Linked DNA regions of Rhinolophus ferrumequinum. The main gene of each other region encodes a partner of the protein of the gene in region 2 in a complex. Links are inferred from orthologs where the notes say so. Each region holds a gene or a part of one and is shown on either strand. Other genes may lie near its edges.

Evidence for each region. The genes of interacting proteins can lie anywhere in the genome.
Region 1: the proteins of BAK1 (region 2) and PXT1 are in contact, whole or in part, in a crystal structure (PDB 8GSV), measured with the Homo sapiens proteins. The link is inferred for Rhinolophus ferrumequinum from reciprocal best matches to the Homo sapiens genes BAK1 and PXT1. Residues at the interface, in NP_001179.1 of Homo sapiens: Ile81, Gly82, Asp84, Ile85, Asn86, Arg88, Tyr89, Glu92, Phe93, Met96, Leu97, His99, Leu100, Tyr110, Lys113, Ile114, Ser117, Leu118, Glu120, Ser121, Asn124, Trp125, Gly126, Arg127, Val129, Ala130, Phe134, Asn182; in NP_694535.2 of Homo sapiens: Ile78, Ile79, His80, Lys81, Leu82, Ala83, Met84, Gln85, Leu86, Arg87, His88, Ile89, Gly90, Asp91, Asn92, Ile93, Asp94, Arg96, Met97.

What each region holds. Positions count from the first base shown.
Region 1 is NC_046286.1:6,335,757-6,343,864, forward strand, and holds the start of PXT1 (peroxisomal testis-specific protein 1), read right to left. Parts: upstream 3,630-8,108; coding exon 3,458-3,629; intron 1-3,457.
Region 2 is NC_046286.1:3,846,380-3,854,700, reverse strand, and holds the start of BAK1 (bcl-2 homologous antagonist/killer), read left to right. Parts: upstream 1-5,156; 5' UTR 5,157-5,434; intron 5,435-5,864; coding exon of another isoform or gene 5,865-5,914; exon of another isoform or gene 5,915-6,119; intron 6,120-7,472; 5' UTR 7,473-7,503; coding exon 7,504-7,573; intron 7,574-8,321. Other genes in the region: gametogenetin-binding protein 1-like, read right to left, coding at 997-1,136, 2,073-2,220, 2,452-2,546, 2,991-3,109, 5,865-5,914. UniProt on the Homo sapiens protein: Plays a role in the mitochondrial apoptotic process. Upon arrival of cell death signals, promotes mitochondrial outer membrane (MOM) permeabilization by oligomerizing to form pores within the MOM.

The DNA of each region.
Region 1 (8,108 bases), about 2.5 Mb from region 2:
AACTTTGTTCTTGGGAGATAATATGTGGATTTATTAGAGATGAAGTTAATACGTCTCTAACTTTATCCCTAATGGTTTAGCAAAGAAAAACATCTATGCCTGATTCGTGAGTGTGTGTGGGAGAGAATGAGAAAAAGAGGTGTAAAAAGATAAAGCAAATGTGCCCCCCTCAAAAGGTAAATCTATGTGATGGGTATACAAGTAACCATAAACTTATTCATGCAACTATTTTATAGATTTAAAACCTCCCAAGGTAAACACTGGAGGGGAAAATGTATCTCAGAAAAGTCCTCAAACCTTAAAGAAAACATTTCTATTCAGTTTCTACAAACTCTATGGACTGGTTTTTCAATCCCCTTAGAATATATCTCAACTTATCTGTCTTGCCTCCTTACCCTTCTCCCTGAACCTTATGTTCTAATTAAATGTGTCTTGTGACCAAATCTTCTCTGAAACATATCTCAAAAATTACTGTCTCTTAGATGCCTTTTTTGAGTCTTCCAAAATAATGTGATCTCTCAGTACTTTGAGTATCTATAGTACTTTTACTGCTGTTGAGATACATCATATTCTACATTTTGTTAAAATCTTTGAATGTTTTTACTATGTAAAACAACAGAGATAATGCATACTAGATGTGTATATTAGTATACTTACCGACTGGATAAACATCATCTATAACGATAACTATAGGTTACAAGTTACTTCCGAAGAACTTGGAATTGAAAGAAAAAAATAAATGTCTTCAGGGAACTACAAGGCAAGATTAACGCCCTCCTATGTGTAGTGGAAATAGCTGAATTGGGCAGTCTGTGGAAAGGGAGAGGCTACCAGCTGTCCCTTGCACAAGCTGCTCCCTCTGCCTGAAACTCCCTTAACCCCTTCAGGTGAGGGCCCAGAGTCACATCATGAGGGAAGCGTTCTCTAACCTCCTTGCTAGGTAGGGCAAATCTCCATTATAGCATCTGGACCTCTTCTTGGAACTTATATTTAACATGTGTAATTAACTTCTGTCTGCCTCCTTTACCAGAAGGGAAGGGGCTGTTATTGTTTTTGTTCCCCATTGTCACCCCCGTACCTAGCACAGTGCCTGGAATATAGGTAGTAGGCCCTAGTCCTTTTTTGAATGAATAAAAAAATGAAAATGTTTCCTAGAAGAGGGGAAGAGTTGCTAAGCCTTAGATGAAGAAAAAAAGGCAAAATGAGCATCCAAGCACTCTCAAATGGAGAGAGCAGCTGCATTCAGTAACTGGACCCTCTATTGACTTCTACAATTATATATCCCATTTATACTCCTCATACACATACATATATAAATGATTTTTAAAAATTCTTCCCTTTCCCATCAATAATTATTACATTTTTAGGGGTGAGTAGGGTCTCTTTTTGCTTTTACTCATTTTTGTTTTCCCAAGAGTTTCTAATTTCCCTTAAATGACAAATCTGGATGGTTTCTCTGGATTTCCCAAGACCTTACCCACCCCCTCAACTTTTCGAAGACAAGTGGCTTTCAGTTCCCCATACAAAAACGATGTTTTCTTTGTCCCTAAAGAGTTGTTCATACGTGCAGACTTCCCCAAAGAAAGAGATAAAGGTCGGCTTCAGCGAGCCACTTTCCAGCCAATAACGACTGGAGGTTTCCATTTTCAGTGTCATAGCCCGGGACAAAAGCCGAAAAGAGGAAAAGGGGACGATCTCAATAATCAGCTTACTCACTAAGAGTTTTACTTTGGGCAGTACTGAGGGGGTTTTGTTTGTTTGCTTTTTTAAGGTTCTCTGCAGTGAGCTTCCCCGGGTCCTCCGAGCGCCGTCCGCCGCCCCACCACCGCTGTGCGGCCCACGCCTACTCTCTCCTGGGAAAAACGCGCGCTCGGCCGGGCCGTTTGGCGGTAGAAGTCACGTGGGCCTGCTTGGCCAATGGGGAGCGTGCACGGCGCGCGGCGGCCCGCGGAGGTCTCCCGCGCCCTCGGTGGCGCTTCTGCTCGCTCCAAGCCGCTGAGGCTTGGGCTCTGGGTGCTCGGAATACCCTGCTCGGCGCCTCTGATTACCCTCGCTGTGGCGTTGTCCACGCCGAACTAACAACACCATGTCCCTCTCACACCGCGCCCGTTAGCTTACACACCCCCCCCACCCATGTCTTCAGCGATATCATGAACTATAAAGCGGGGAAACGCGCCGCTGCCTCCTGGGCCAGAAGAGTGTTCGAAAGGAAATGGGAGGCTTGTGTGGGCTGACCTCTAATTGCGGGATCCGCCGTGGTATGCACCCACCAGACTAAAATACCAGTCACAAGCAAGATTTTACATATATGGTAAAACGCGAGTTCTAGGCATGGAAACAAACATGTAGGTTAGGTTGTTGTCTGTTTGTAAATCAAAGGCAGTAGCATTATTAACTCTTCACCCTTCTGTTTTTGAGATGAAATTAGGAAAGCATTTCGCGTAAATGTGGCTGCGGCCCACAGGGCACCTCAGAAGTTACCCATCAGCTTCACAGGGAGTCTGTGAGGATCTAGGGTACAGTGAGTGTGAAAACATATTGCAAAAGGTTTATAATAAAATGAGTTCTAGAATAGTGGTGATGATTGCACAACTTTGTGAATGTACTAAAAACTATTGAATTGTGCACTTTAAACAGTTGAACTTGTGTATGAATTACATCTCAAAAGTATGTATATGTTCTAGAAGGTAATCACAGGTGACAATCTCAGGCTTTGAGAAATAATTGTTGACACCTGCACACATGAAAATTCAAAATTTTCATCAACTGAGTTCTTTCTGGAAAATGTACACCATATTTGATATGGTAGCAAAAGACTATCAGGATGCTTGAAATTTCCACTTTCTCAGTGGCATATAATTCTTTTAAAATTGGAGAATCGTTTGAGATTAGTTTTAATAATTCCTTTCATGTGGCTAGCATACATTTAAGTAAGTCTAAAAGCCCATAAATTGGACCCCAAGACTCTTTAATGCTCTCAAAAACATAAGACTTTAGTTTTCCAACATCCTGGGACATTTAGGAATTACACAGTTTTGCAACACAAAATTTCAAGTTTATCTTTCCTTCATGTTCTTTTCTATGTTGGCAAAATCAAGAAGGAACCTATACTGAATTTTTCCTACCTTAAGAATGCAGACATTGTCAGGTCTCTGTTTAAAGACAAATTTTTATTAAAAGATAAATTTGATCTATTTTAGTTTATTTGGAGTCATCTTAATTAATTGTCACATCAATGGTTCAGGGCTAATAAAAACTAAGACATTTAATACCATGAAGCAAAGTCAGTTTTAGATTTTTACTATCTAGAACTTTGATGAATAGATTTACCACTATCTTCTTACAACTGGTTAATGTTTAAATAATCTACTTAATGCCCAAATTTATATCCTCAATGCCAAGAAAAATACATGCTAAGTAGAATATTTCTCTTAGTTTAATACAAGTAATGTCTTACCTGGGTTCCTTGGCATGGCTAAAACTGGCTGGTTGCTGACAAGTCGGGTCATGTATGCCTTCTGAAAACTGTATTTCACCCACAGTGATTTGCAACAATGTGTTACTTTGAGAGAGGGATTCAGAAGTTCTTTAGGTTCACAAACAATAGCATCATGTTTTTTCTGCTTCATGTTTTTTCCCTGTTGAAAAGATATATTTTCAGAGGATTTCTCAGTATATATTTGGTATGTTAGATGAATATTGATGTTCTAACAACACAAGCAGCTTTTATTCCATACATAAAAGAGTTATGGATTTGAGTGGAAGATGGAACATGGTGATCTCTACGGTCTTTTTCAACTTAAATAAACATCTCTCTGTGTTCCTTGGTCTTTAGATCTGCTACACTACCCTGCATCCGCATCTCCCAGAAGTTTTTCTTCACCTTTTCAATAGCCACATTCCAGCAATGGAACAGTCTAAATTAGTACACATAGAAAAAGAGACAAATTAGTGCAGCCAAAGAAAAAAGTAGATAAAAAAACCTAGAGAGGTGGGGAGGAATGGAGATGAAATACATTCTGTGTCCTACTTCGTGTGTGTGTGTGTGTGTGTGTGTGTGTGTGGGGGTGTGTGTCTGTCTGTCTGTCTGTCTGTTGTTAATTCTCCATATACTCAGTCCATCCCTACATTCTCTACAGACACCAATAAAGGCTATTCTCCTGCCTCCCCCTTTTTTCTAATACTGTAGCATAAATCCAGTAAGTTAAAGAATTGAACTAAGACTTTCATTGTCTATCAGTGCACTTAATTCTCTTAACTTAAAGGTTGGCTACAAAGTCTGACTTTCTATTTTACCCTCTAAATCTAATTAGTTACTGGAAAAAAAAGGAATGGATAAGAGAGTTCAGGACATAAAGAACAACTAAAGAAAGTAATAAGGGAAGCCTTCAGCGGCCTTAGATCCAATAAAACATGTGAATCATACATGTAATTTTAAGTTTTCTAATAAATACATTAAAAAAGTAAAAAGAAAGGTAAAATTAATTTTAATAATATAACTTAAAATGTATCCCAAAATAAATCCAAAAGTTATCATTTCAACAGGTAATCAACATACACATTTTTAAAGAAATAGTTTACATTCTCATTAAAGTAAGTCATCCAAATCTGGTATATATTTTACACTTAAAATACATCTCAAGGCCGACGCTATTATCCTCTGTTTCTCTGCCGCACCAACCTCGACATCTTGCCTATGTCCCCCGCTTGTTTACGGCCTATAGATTGGTGTGTCCATTTAATCCAAGAAAATGGAAACTGACCAGCCAGAGGAAATCTTCCCCAACACCAAAACCAGTGGTGAATTTGCTAAATGGCCTGCAGAAGATATGGAAGAGGAACAAGCTTTTAAAAGATCTAGAAACACTGATGAGATGGTTAAATTACGCATTCTGCTTCAAAGCAAGAATGCTGGGGCAGTGATTGGAAAAGGAGGCAAGAATATTAAGGCTCTGCGCACAGACTACAATGCCAGTGTTGCAGTCCCAGACAGCAGTGGCCCTGAATGCATATTGAGTATCAGTGCTGATATTGAAACAATTGGAGAAATTCTGAAGAAAATCATCCCTACCTTGGAAGAGGGCCTGCAGTTGCCACCACCCACTGCAACCAGCCAGGTCCTGTTCGAATCTGATGCTGTGGAAGGCTTGAATAATCAACACTATAAAGGAAGCGACTCTGACTGCCAGCTGAGACTGTTGATTCGTCAGAGTTTGGCAGGAGGAATTATTGGGGTCAAAGGTGCTAAAATCAAAGAACTTCGAGAGAACACTCCGACAACAATCAAGCTTTTTCCAGGAGTGCTGTCCTCACTCCCCTGACAGAGTCATTCTTATTGGAGGAAAACCTGATAGGGTTGAGGAGTGCATACAGATCATCCTTGATCTTACATCTCCCATCTTAGAGTCTCCCATCAAGGGATGTGCACAGCCTTACGATCCCAATTTTTGTGATGAAACCTATGATTATGGTGGCTTTTCAGTGATGTTTGATGACCGCCATGGGCGTCCCGTGGGATTTCCCATGCAGGGAAGAGGTGGTTTTGACAGAATACTTCCTGGTCCAGGAGGGTGTCCCAGGCCTCCATCTAGAAGAGATTATGATGACATGAGCCCTCGGCGAGGACCTCCTCCCCCTCCTCCTGGTCGAGGTGGCAGGGGAGGTAGCAAGGCTCAGAACCTTCCTCTTCCTCCACCACCACCTCCTAGAGGAGGAGATCTAATGGCCTATGACAGAAAAGGAAGACCTGGAGACTGTTATGATGGCAGGGTTGGTTTCAGTGCCGATGAAACGGGACTCTGCAATAGATACATGGAGCCCTTGAGAATGGCAGATGGCTTATGAACCACAGGGTGGCTCCAGATATGAGTATTCCTATGCAGGGGGTCGTGGTTCATATGGTGATCTTGATGGACCTATTATTACTACACAAGTAACTGTTCCCAAAGATTTGGCTGGATCTATTATTGGCAAAGGCGGTCAATGGATTAAACAAATTTGTCACGAGTCAGGTGCTTCAATCAAAACTGATGAGCCTTTAGAAGGATATGAAGATCGGATCATTACCATTACAGGAACACAGGACCAGACACAGAATGCACAGTATTTGCTGCAGAACAGTGTGAAGCAGTATGCAGATGTTGAAGGATTCTAATGCAAGATATTTTTTCTTTTTTATAGTGTGAAACGTTTTCCTAAGACTAGTGAAGAGCTGATAGAGTCCTGCATCTTTTTTATTTTCTGCTTCTGTTTAAAAAGCCAACATTCCTCTGCTTCATAGGTGGTCTGCATTTGAGGTGTAGTGAAATATTTGCTGTTCACCAGATGTAATGTTTTAGTTCCTTACAAATGGTGGGGGGGAGGAGATGCAAAAACTAACATTGAAATTTTGAAACAGCAGAGTGAGTGAATTCTAATCTTTGTTCATTGTTGGTTAAAAAGGAAAATTCCCCCTATGTGATTATTGTGAACACCTTACTTTGTGGTCATTGTAACATTTGGGGGTGGGGGAGACAGGGAGGAAAAGTAACAATAGTCCTTACGTCCCTGGCAACTATTCAGAGCAGTGTGCAGAATGTAATGCTCTTTTGTAAGAAATCTTTCATGATTTTTAAAATAAATTTAGTGAACCTATTTTTGGTGGTCATTTTTTTTTTTAAGACGGTCATTTTTCAAATGGCTAAATTCCCCAAACCACCCCCAAACTAAACACTAAGTTTGATTTTCAGCTCCTGTGTTGGAATAAATAAATGCATCTCTTGGACATAGGCAAAATATCTTGGCAAATTCAGTTCTGGTGATTTCTTAATGGTTTGAAAGTCCATTGCTTGTAAAGAAATCCCATCATACACATTCACGCTTATAATAAGCTGGGGATTCTGTTTGTTTTGCAAATGGCTGCCCCTACTTTGCAGCAGTTTTCTATGTTAATAATTGGGGAAAAGCACTAAGGTGGGGAACAGTACTACAGATTCAGTAATGGTGTAAGTATATACCAGAAGCCTAATGGCAGCAAGTTTTATTAATCAGAATAATACTTGGTTATGGAAGTGACTGCTAAATAAATCCTGATTATTTTTATTAGATAATTTCTCACCTATAGACTTTAACTGTCAGCTTGCCTAGTGTCTATTAGTTAAACTTTGTACTATATATATATATATATATATATATATATATATATATATATATTCTTGTTTTTCAATTGTATGCAAATTGAAAGAAAAAGATGTACCATTTCTTTGTTTTATGTTGGATAATGTAGGAAATGTTTGTGAACAATTCAAAAAAAAGATGAAAAAGTTCCTGTGGTTGTTTTGTGTAGTATCTTGACATTTGTAATAGTTAAAAGTTCACTTCCAAATAAAACACCTATAATGCTAGAATCGATGTTTACCCAATTTGAACAAAGGTTACTTGGCACCTGTAAAATTTGTTAAAACGTTCCTCTTGTAAGGAAATACAGTAATCTTAAATTATGGGGGGAAAAAAAAACCTCTTAATTTGGACCAGCCACATTTTGGGTGCTTGGTAGTTACCTGCGGCCATGACTACTGTATGAGACAGTACGTAGAGTAAAGCTGCATTTCAGCTTTAGCGGAAGAAGCAAGAATTGAAAAGAAATTACACTGAGAGAAAGGCAGTAAGCAATCTCAGCTATACAAACCAAGGCAGGTGACATCATCAGGTAGAATTCTGACTCATCATTTGTACATTTTCCAGTGTAGAATGAATACTACTTTGATATTTTGATTGTTGTAATTTGGGCCAGATTAGAGGAATTGGAGCTGTGGGATGAAGGGCTGTGAGATCCTGGGCATTTTTTTGGCACCTTGGGGATCCTGACATTTTAACTATACTCATCAGGCAAACTTCTGACCTTAATTTGATTTCTCAGGTAAACCTTCGATTGGGAAAATGACATGCTCACCAGCTAATGCATCAGAGCCAGATCAGCCCTGGATTAAAATTATTAAGTTACTAAATGGGCAAAATTGATAGTCAAGATGCAGTTACCAGGTGAGGTTCTTATTTGAAAGAGCCAGCTGACACCTTTATCCATCCGCCCCTTGTGAAACTGTCATTTTGCACTAGTTATTCATATGGCA
Region 2 (8,321 bases):
CCTTTAGGGTGGACAGGCAGAGCATGTGGCCCTGCCAGGGCTGACAGGCTGTGTGGCTCAGAAGGACGTGGTACAGCCTTGTTCCCCAGAGCTCAGGGGCACGTGGCTCAGGGCAATAAGAAGGCCTCCCCTCAGTGCCTGGCAGGCCTGTATTCCTGACCCCTCACGCTGAAGAGCCTGTGCAGGGACGGCATACAGCCTGCATCTCCTCTGACCCTGCCAACAGCCCCCTTTCACAGGCTAAGGAACCAAGGCTATAGTCAAAGTCACAGAACAAGCTGACACTGGAACAGGGACTTGGACTAAAGACTCTGGTCTCCAAACCTTGTGCTCTTTCGTTTTGTAAATCACACAGACCGACAGGGGCATCTGTCCACTGAATGAAAGAATGAACTGACGAACGAATGGAAATTAACTCAGAAAGGATACCCACACACGTTTCAACAACACGTCCATCCATGTGCACTCAGAGAAGCTGGGACAGGCCTAATGTTTAAGGCTGATGTCAAGGAGGGTGGGCAGCGGGTGGTCCTCGGTGTGACCCAGCAGGGGAACTGCCTCACACCTATGTGTGTGGGAGTAGGCTTGGGTGTGAATGGGAGAGAAAATAGAAAAAGAGCAACATTATGTGAGATACAGATGAACTGGAAAGCCTTAAAGCCACCTAGGCAAATCTCCTCCTTGTATGGATGAGGAAATTGAGGCCCAGAGAGGGGAAGGGACTTGCCCAAGGCCACACAGCAAGTGAATGGCAAAGTCAAGCCTTAAAAATGGACATTTGGACTCTGAGTCAAGTGAGAGACAGAGAGAGACTGATGGAGAATTGTGTGTGTGCAGGGGGTCACGGTCCTATTCTTAGAAATACCACCAAGAAGGGATTCTGCCTTCCCTACCCAGGCAGTGTGGTGGGGGCTGGAGCCAGGGTCAGGGCCTACGGAGATGGGAGGCCTCCAGCCCCATTTTGCAAATGTCCTCAGGCAGGGTCCTCAGGCATACCTGGCCATCCAAAATGCCCGCCTCCTCCAAGGTGATCTCTGGTTGGGTCAGTAGCTCCCGGTCCTCATGAATGCCCATCTTCCAGAGGCGGGACTCCCGCTGTACTACCAGAAGCTTCTTTAACTCTGACTCCATGAAACCTGACAGCCAAAGAGATGGGCAAAGGACAGGCAGGAGTGGGGTGGAGCAACCTGCTGGAGGTCAAAGGAAGAGGCGGCGGCTCCCTCTCCGACCTCCTCCTAGCCCTGTGGTCACCCCAGCCATAGTGGTTTCGTCACCCATTACCTGGAGCCAGCCAGACACCATCTCCCCACCGCCATGCCTTCCTCAAGAAACTCACTCTCCATGGGCTCCCTCCTGCAAGCATGACTGTGTCTCATCACCTCCTGGGAAGAGCATGCAAGGGGCAGATATCTGCCCCCCCATCCAGCCACCAACTCATGAGCATGGATCTGGAACCATCCAAACTGCCTCAGTTCAAGTCCCAGCTCTGCCACTTACTAGCTGCGTGATTTTGGACAAGTTACTTAACCTCTCTGTGCCTAGTTTCCTCACTGAAGTGGAGACTATAATAGGACCTACCTCGGAGTCCTAGCGCATTATTTCGTGAAAAGTTCTTAGAAGAGGATCTGGCCCATAGGAATGACTATGTAAATGCAACGATTTTATCATATTATCACCAGCCCCCACTCTTTCCTTATCTGCCCTCAGGACACCCTTTGGGGTACTGTCACAACAGTGGATATGTGATAGGAAAACCAGGGATGGAGGTGGCCACCAAAAGAGAATTCCAGGCTGCGAAAGGGTGGCACTCGAGGAGCCACAGTCCCAGTCATCACAACCCCCACCTTGCTGCCTCCCAAACCTTGACAGAGGAGGACCCTAGCTAGCCGTGAGTATGGCCTCCAGCCCAGCCACCCACCCCCACCCGGCACTGGCCCCCACCTCGGGTGGTCATCTTAGGTCCTCTGTTACCACCTGGTGGTAAAAACTGGTATTGCACCCATGAGCCGCGAGACAAAGTGTGATTCCCTCCTCCGGGCAGGTTGGGAGGGGAGGTGGGGCAGCGCACTTACCCACTGTATCTGTCGATCTAAAAGTCTTATGGATTGGCGACTGGAGTGTGGCAATGCCTGGGACACAGAGCTTGAATGAGCTGTCCTCTTCCTCCATTTCCTCTTCTTCACTTTCCTCCTCATGGAGTAAGGCTTCCTTGAGAGGAAACTGAGGGTGTGCCAGGTCACTGAGCATGTGAGGAGGACCCCAAGCCTGCAGTCCCTGCCCCACCCCACGTAAAACAGAAAGCAGGAGGGAACAGCCTCCAAAAGGTTAGGAAAGGGGACTGCTCGCCCATGGTCCAAGCCACATATCCTGGGGCCCAGCCAGAAGTGGGGAAGGGCCCCACCCAGGCCTCCCTGGGCCCTCCCCCAACCACTGTGTCTTGGCCCCACAGACCTTGGTCATGGTCGATTTCTGAAGCTGCTTGTACAAGGTGAGGAGGCGGTTCCAGGGAGTTGCCCCCACCTTCGAAGAGGCCAGCCTGAGGTCTCCTGTGATGGGACAGTGGCACTGACAATCTAATAGCAATGGGAGCTAATAGCAATGGGATGTGGCCCAGGCCCAGCAGGGCAGGGACAGCTGGAAGGTTGAGCTGCGGGTGAAGTTTCCTGGTTTTCTTTAGCAAACACCTACTATGTGGCAGACACATTTCTAGGCACTTTATAAAGGACATCTCATTTAATCCTTGCAACTACCTCTGAGATAGGTACTATTACAGTCCCATTTTATAGATGAGGAAACTGAGAAACAGAAAGGCTGAACAATTTGCCACCACACACAGCTCAACACAGCGGAGTTGGGATTCAAACCCAGGGAGTCTGCCTCCAGCATTCCCTTAGGCTTCGTCCTCCCAGGTCCCACAGCCCTGCAGAGTCCTAGAGGAGGAGAATCTGTTTATGGCCCCGCCCCACACCTGTGGCCCCTCCCACACTCACCATCCCCGTCCAGCAGACACTCCTCCTCCCAGTTGAAGGCTTCCCGGCTGACCTCCAGTGGCCCCATGGAGCTCTGCAGGCATCCTTTCTCCAGCTCCAGAGCTTGGGCAAAGTGGTCCCTGATTCCAAAGCACAGTCAGGTGGGAGTGGCAGGTGGGGCCCAGAGATGTGGCAAAGGCCCCACACCCTCACACACACCCAAGCCTCTCCCACAGGCCCTGCTCAGCCCCTCCATGCTCCTGCTCCCAACAGATCCTTGCTGGGTCCTCTGAGGCTTCATCATGGAGGTGGGGGGTAGCTGAGAGATGGTCCCCCTTCCTCATGGGGAGGGGGAGAGCGGTGCCAGGTCCAAATGGCAGTGGGAACCAGGAGGGAGAAAGTGGGGAGGAAAGGCAGGGTGGGGTGGGGCCGAGGAAGGAGCTGGGAAGCAATGGGAGCCCGCTCACCCTGGCACGCTTCCTTCCCAGTCCCCAGCCTGTCTCCCTTTCCTTTAGGTGCCTCCATCCACAACTCCTAACTTGTGGGAGAAACCTCATCTCTGCCTCTTCCCCACATACTCACACCCCATCTCCAGACTTCTCCTTGCCCTTGGTATGTCCATCCTTCCCCGTCCAGTTACCTGGTCCAGTCCTCCACCCATCCAGGGACTCGCATTCTGGCCTCTCCCCCATTTGGGTCCTCCCATCTCAGGCCCAAATCCTTCCCGTCTTACATCCAGGCCTTGTCCCAGCACTTCCATCCCAGACCCCTTCCCTTCACCCACAGCCCAGTCCTTCACCTGTCTGAGGACCCTGTATCCCCAGAGGCCTTCCCTGCTGCCTCCTTCTGCTCCTCCTCTCCCTCCTTCTCAGACACCTCCTGGCTGCTTCTGGGCCCGAATGACTTCATCTCTACACCCTGGGCCACGACCTTCAGGACCTCCATGGGGGTGGGGATCTGGGCCCCCATGTCCCCCATCCCCAGCCCTGAAGGATCGTTTGGTGGCAGGGCCACAGAGAGGGTGTTGGGTCCCGTGGCGGATGGCCTGGGCTCCTTCCTCTCCACCCCTTCCTGGTGGTCCATCATCAGGGGGATGGCATCCTGCTCTTGCGAGGGGCACGCCCGATCTCCCAACAGAGCCTTGTCAGAGCTCTTTGGGCTGCCCTTGCTCCCCACCAGGCTACGAAAAAAGCGGAACATGGAGGAGCGGCCCAAAATTCGGTATCGAGGGGTTGGAGCTGGGCTCTCCATCCTGAGAGGGACCGTGACTCACAGGGAGGAACTGTAGCAGCCACCCCAGGACCAACTGCTTAAGAACAGGAGGAGTTTTTAAATGAAAACCTACAGTTGGAAACTTCCAGGAGTTCTAGAAGGCAAAGGTCAGGCAGGCAGGGGGGGGGCGGGGGGGCAGTGATGGGGGCAGGGCATGGTGGGGGATTAGTTGGGGACAGAGAGGGCAGGGGGCGGATGAGGCAGGGGAAGGAGGCTTGGGGAGCCAGTCTGGGGGCTGGCTGGTGAGGCTCCAGGAAGCAGGGGGTCGGAGGGAGGGTGGACAGTGGACCTGGACCCAGAGCACGAGGCAGGCAGGGCTCTCGAGGACTCGGCACACCCTCCCTCCCCCTGGCTTGTCCTTGCCTGTGGCTGCTTCTGTCACTGAGAACCACTGACGATGGCCAGCTGGTATCTGTGGCCCTTTTCTCTCCCCTCTGAATACTCAGCTTGCATGTGCCCATGCGGGGAGCAGACCTTACCACGTTTTCATCTGTTTACCTGCCTATAACCTTCAGGATTTCTACCTCCAGAGACCACCTAGGTGCCTAGTACAGGTCTTAGTTGTACGTTGTATCTCAACTTAGTATTATTATTCCCCACTGCACCTAGAGTCTTGATTCTAAACCCAGCTTAGTGAGTTTGGGAAGAGTTCCTTCGAACAGCTGAGCCTCAGCTGCTTTTGTTCATCAGTAAAATGGGTGTAGCTGATGGCACCTACTTCCAAGGGCTGTTGAGATGATTCAATGAGACGATGGCTACTAAAGTTCATGGCACACAGTGGTGCTTAAGAAACGTCACCATCCTGACTTGTTTATTGGTATTGATTGATGGGAGGGGGAAAGATCAAGGCTCCAGAGTGGGAAAAGCAGCAGGGGAGGAGCCACTCCAATGCGCGGCCGAGGCTGCGGTGGGGGCTCTGAGCCCAGACCGCCAGAGGTACATCCGCATCCGGCTGCCGCAGAGCGACTTCCTCTAGAGGGAGCTGATTGGAGCCGGCAGGCAGCTCTATGTTCAGCGGAGCCTCTCAGTCCCCAGGGCTGCCCTGGGACGAGCAGAGGCTGCATCCAGACTCCAGGAATTCACTGACACCCATTCCTGGAAGCAGGCCTGGGCACCTTCGCCTGGGAGCAGCCGCTAGCCCCTCAGGATCTCCAGTCTCCTCCCATCCTAGGCCGAGGCTAGGGTCCCGACAGGTAAGCTGGGGCTGAGGGACGGCGGAGGAGGGTCCTGTCCATCCTCCCCACTCTGGGCAACCCCAGGCCTAGGGTGGGGCAGGGCGCCCACTGGAGCTGGGTGGGAGGAGGAGCCTTGCCTGGGCAGCCTCACCACCCCTGCCAGGGGCCTGATCAGCCAGGGCTCCCTCTGGCTGCCCCTTAAGACAGCTTCCCCTCATGCCCAGGCCCTGAGTGCCTGAGAATCGGGGCCAAATAACCAGGTCTGCTAGCATTCTGGGGGACGGGAGTGGAGGTCAGAGCCAAGGTCAAGAGCAGGGGGAGAGCCCAGACGGCACTTCCTGCTGCCCCAGGAGCCCTGGACTCCATCTGCAGCCCGGCCAGGCATTTCCCTTGGGGAACTTTCTGGGCCAGCAGCCCCAGTAGGTAGGGTGCAGGGGACTCCCCTTACCAGGAAGTCAGGCCACTTGGATGGGGGCAGGGGTAGGCCCGGGTTGGCATAGACTTCTGGTCCGGGGACTGTTCTGAGACTCCACCTCCTTCCCAGCAGTGAGCCCTGGGGTCGTGGGAAAGGGAGTTGCAGGTTGAGTCAGCATCCTCTGGCCCTGTTGTCCCGGGGTGCCCGGATTGGGGGACCAGGGGAGAGGCACAGGTATCTTGTTCCTGAAAGAGCTACCGGGATGGGGGTGTGCCAGGCAAAGGTCTATCTTGACGAGCGCCCGGGTGTGGTAGAGGGAGGATCTGCCTTCTCCCTATTCCCGCCCTGAGAGTGGAGGGGTGGAGAGCTGAGTACACTGGTGGTCCAGCCCTCCCCCACACCTTCTCAGTCCTTGGGGACTTTCAAAAATGGCCTCAGGCTTGAGAGGGAGGGGGTGAGGAAGGGTACACAGGCCTTCCCAAGGAGGAGGGGCTGTTCTGCCTAGCCCAGGGTGGGGGCTGTCCCCTCCCCAGGAATGGGGGGAAGGGCACTCCCGCCTGGGTGATGGAAGCAGCTGGGGGGTAGGGGAAATAAAAGGGATGCAAATTGAAAGTGAAACAGCTCATGTCCAGGAAATACTCCCTGTGTCAAGGGTTCACGGAGAACATTGGGGCTATAGCCAGGGCTAGGCAAAGAGGAAAAATGGGGCTGGGGACTGGAGAGCAAATGAGGTATCTGTGTGAGGCAGGCTGGGGCGCTGTGAAAAAGGCTCTGACTCTTGAGGGCTCCTCAGCTCACTGCAAGGCAGGAATGGGAAGGCACGGGCCACACGTAACCAGGAAAAGTTGCCCTGGAAAGGATACCCTCTGAGATCCACAAACCAGAAGATAAATCTTAACTGAGTGTTGAGTATATGGACTCATGGAAGTTCAGATAACCAACCTGACTCTCTGACTAGCTATGTGGCCTTGGCCAGTAGCCTCTTTGTGCCTCATTTTTCCCACCTGTGAAATGGGTATAATGATGCTTATCTTGCTGAGCTAATGTGCATTTTCCACACCCCCTGAGGTGCTCATACATGGTAGAAGTATACGATAGGCACTCACGAAATATTTGTGGCTAATATGCCTGAGGTGGAAAACAGGTGTGCTCTGACCAGCCAAGGGGAAGTGGGACCTTCGAGGACGACCTTCATGGGTCATTGGCTGGGAAGTTGGCAAGCTTGTGGTAAGCATGTGCTGGGCAGGGTGCAGAGGGCCCATGAGCAATGGAAAGAACCCGCAGCCTATGAAACTAGCTTCACTTCCCAGGAGTGAGGTGAACTGTGACCTGAGACTCACTAGGGCAGTGCTATAGCCACCCCTCCTGGGGCCCTGGATGCCAGCGTGCTGATCCCTGGCTGAGAATCTTGGCTGCCTTGGTTTTCTCATCCCCAGACTACCCTGAAGTTGCCAGTGAAATGCTCAATAAGTTAGGACTTCACAGCAGACTCCACAGATCCAAGGTGGTGAAATAAGAATGGCTGAAGCTAGGACTGTGGGGTCTTTTGGGGAGTGGGCGCCCCCTCACTCCTGTGTAGGAAGCTCTCGTCAGTGGCCCCTGCTTGTCCTCATCTCTGCTTTTTTAAACCCACCCCCACAGGCTAACACTGCCCTCCACTGGGACCTGAAAAATGGCATCTGGGCAAGGACCAGGACCTCCCAGGCAGGGGTGTGAAGAGCCTGCCCCTTCCTCCACTTCGGGTAAGGGTCTTTCTGTCCCCTCACCCATCCCATAACCACCAGGGCTGTCTGTGAGGATGGAGAGAACAGAAGTGGACAGGGCCAGGCAGGACTTAGGGGCAGGCTCTCCTGCTTCAGTTTACTCACCTTGGATAAAGGAGAAAATATCTTCTCATCCAATGCAGGTGGCCCATTGGGCTCAGAAGCTAAAGTGAAGTCAAGGTTAACCCCTGGGAGTGGGGAGGAGTGTGGGCCTGGGAGGTACAGAGGTTGGGAGATGCTAGGGAGTAAGTGTGAGGTGGGCTCAGGGCCATCCCAGGGCAGACGGGTGGGATGGGGTTAGAAGGAAAGAAGAGTGGGGCGTGGCTGGCCTATTCCTGCAGTAGGAGAAATAAGGAAGTAAGTTGGCTTATCACAGAGTCCCGTCTGCTCAACAGGGAAAACTTTATGACTTTGGGGAGGAAGTGAGATGGCTGCACTTCTTCCCTCTTCTAAGGGGATCATCAGGGAAGCCTTCTGCTCACAGCCCACTACAGGCTGTTCCCTGGACTTTGGGTTCCATCCTGGGTCTGTCACTATTTCCCTATGTGACTTTTGTGGTCCCATATTCCCTAAGCCGTGAGAGCTGGGTCCCTTGTACAAGCTAAAACAAACTCAGGGACCCAAATGCCTGGGATTATATCCTGGCTCCACTGCTCATTCCAGCTGTATGACCACCCTGTGCAAGTTACATAACCCCCCTGTGCCTCAGTACCCCATCTGTAAAGTG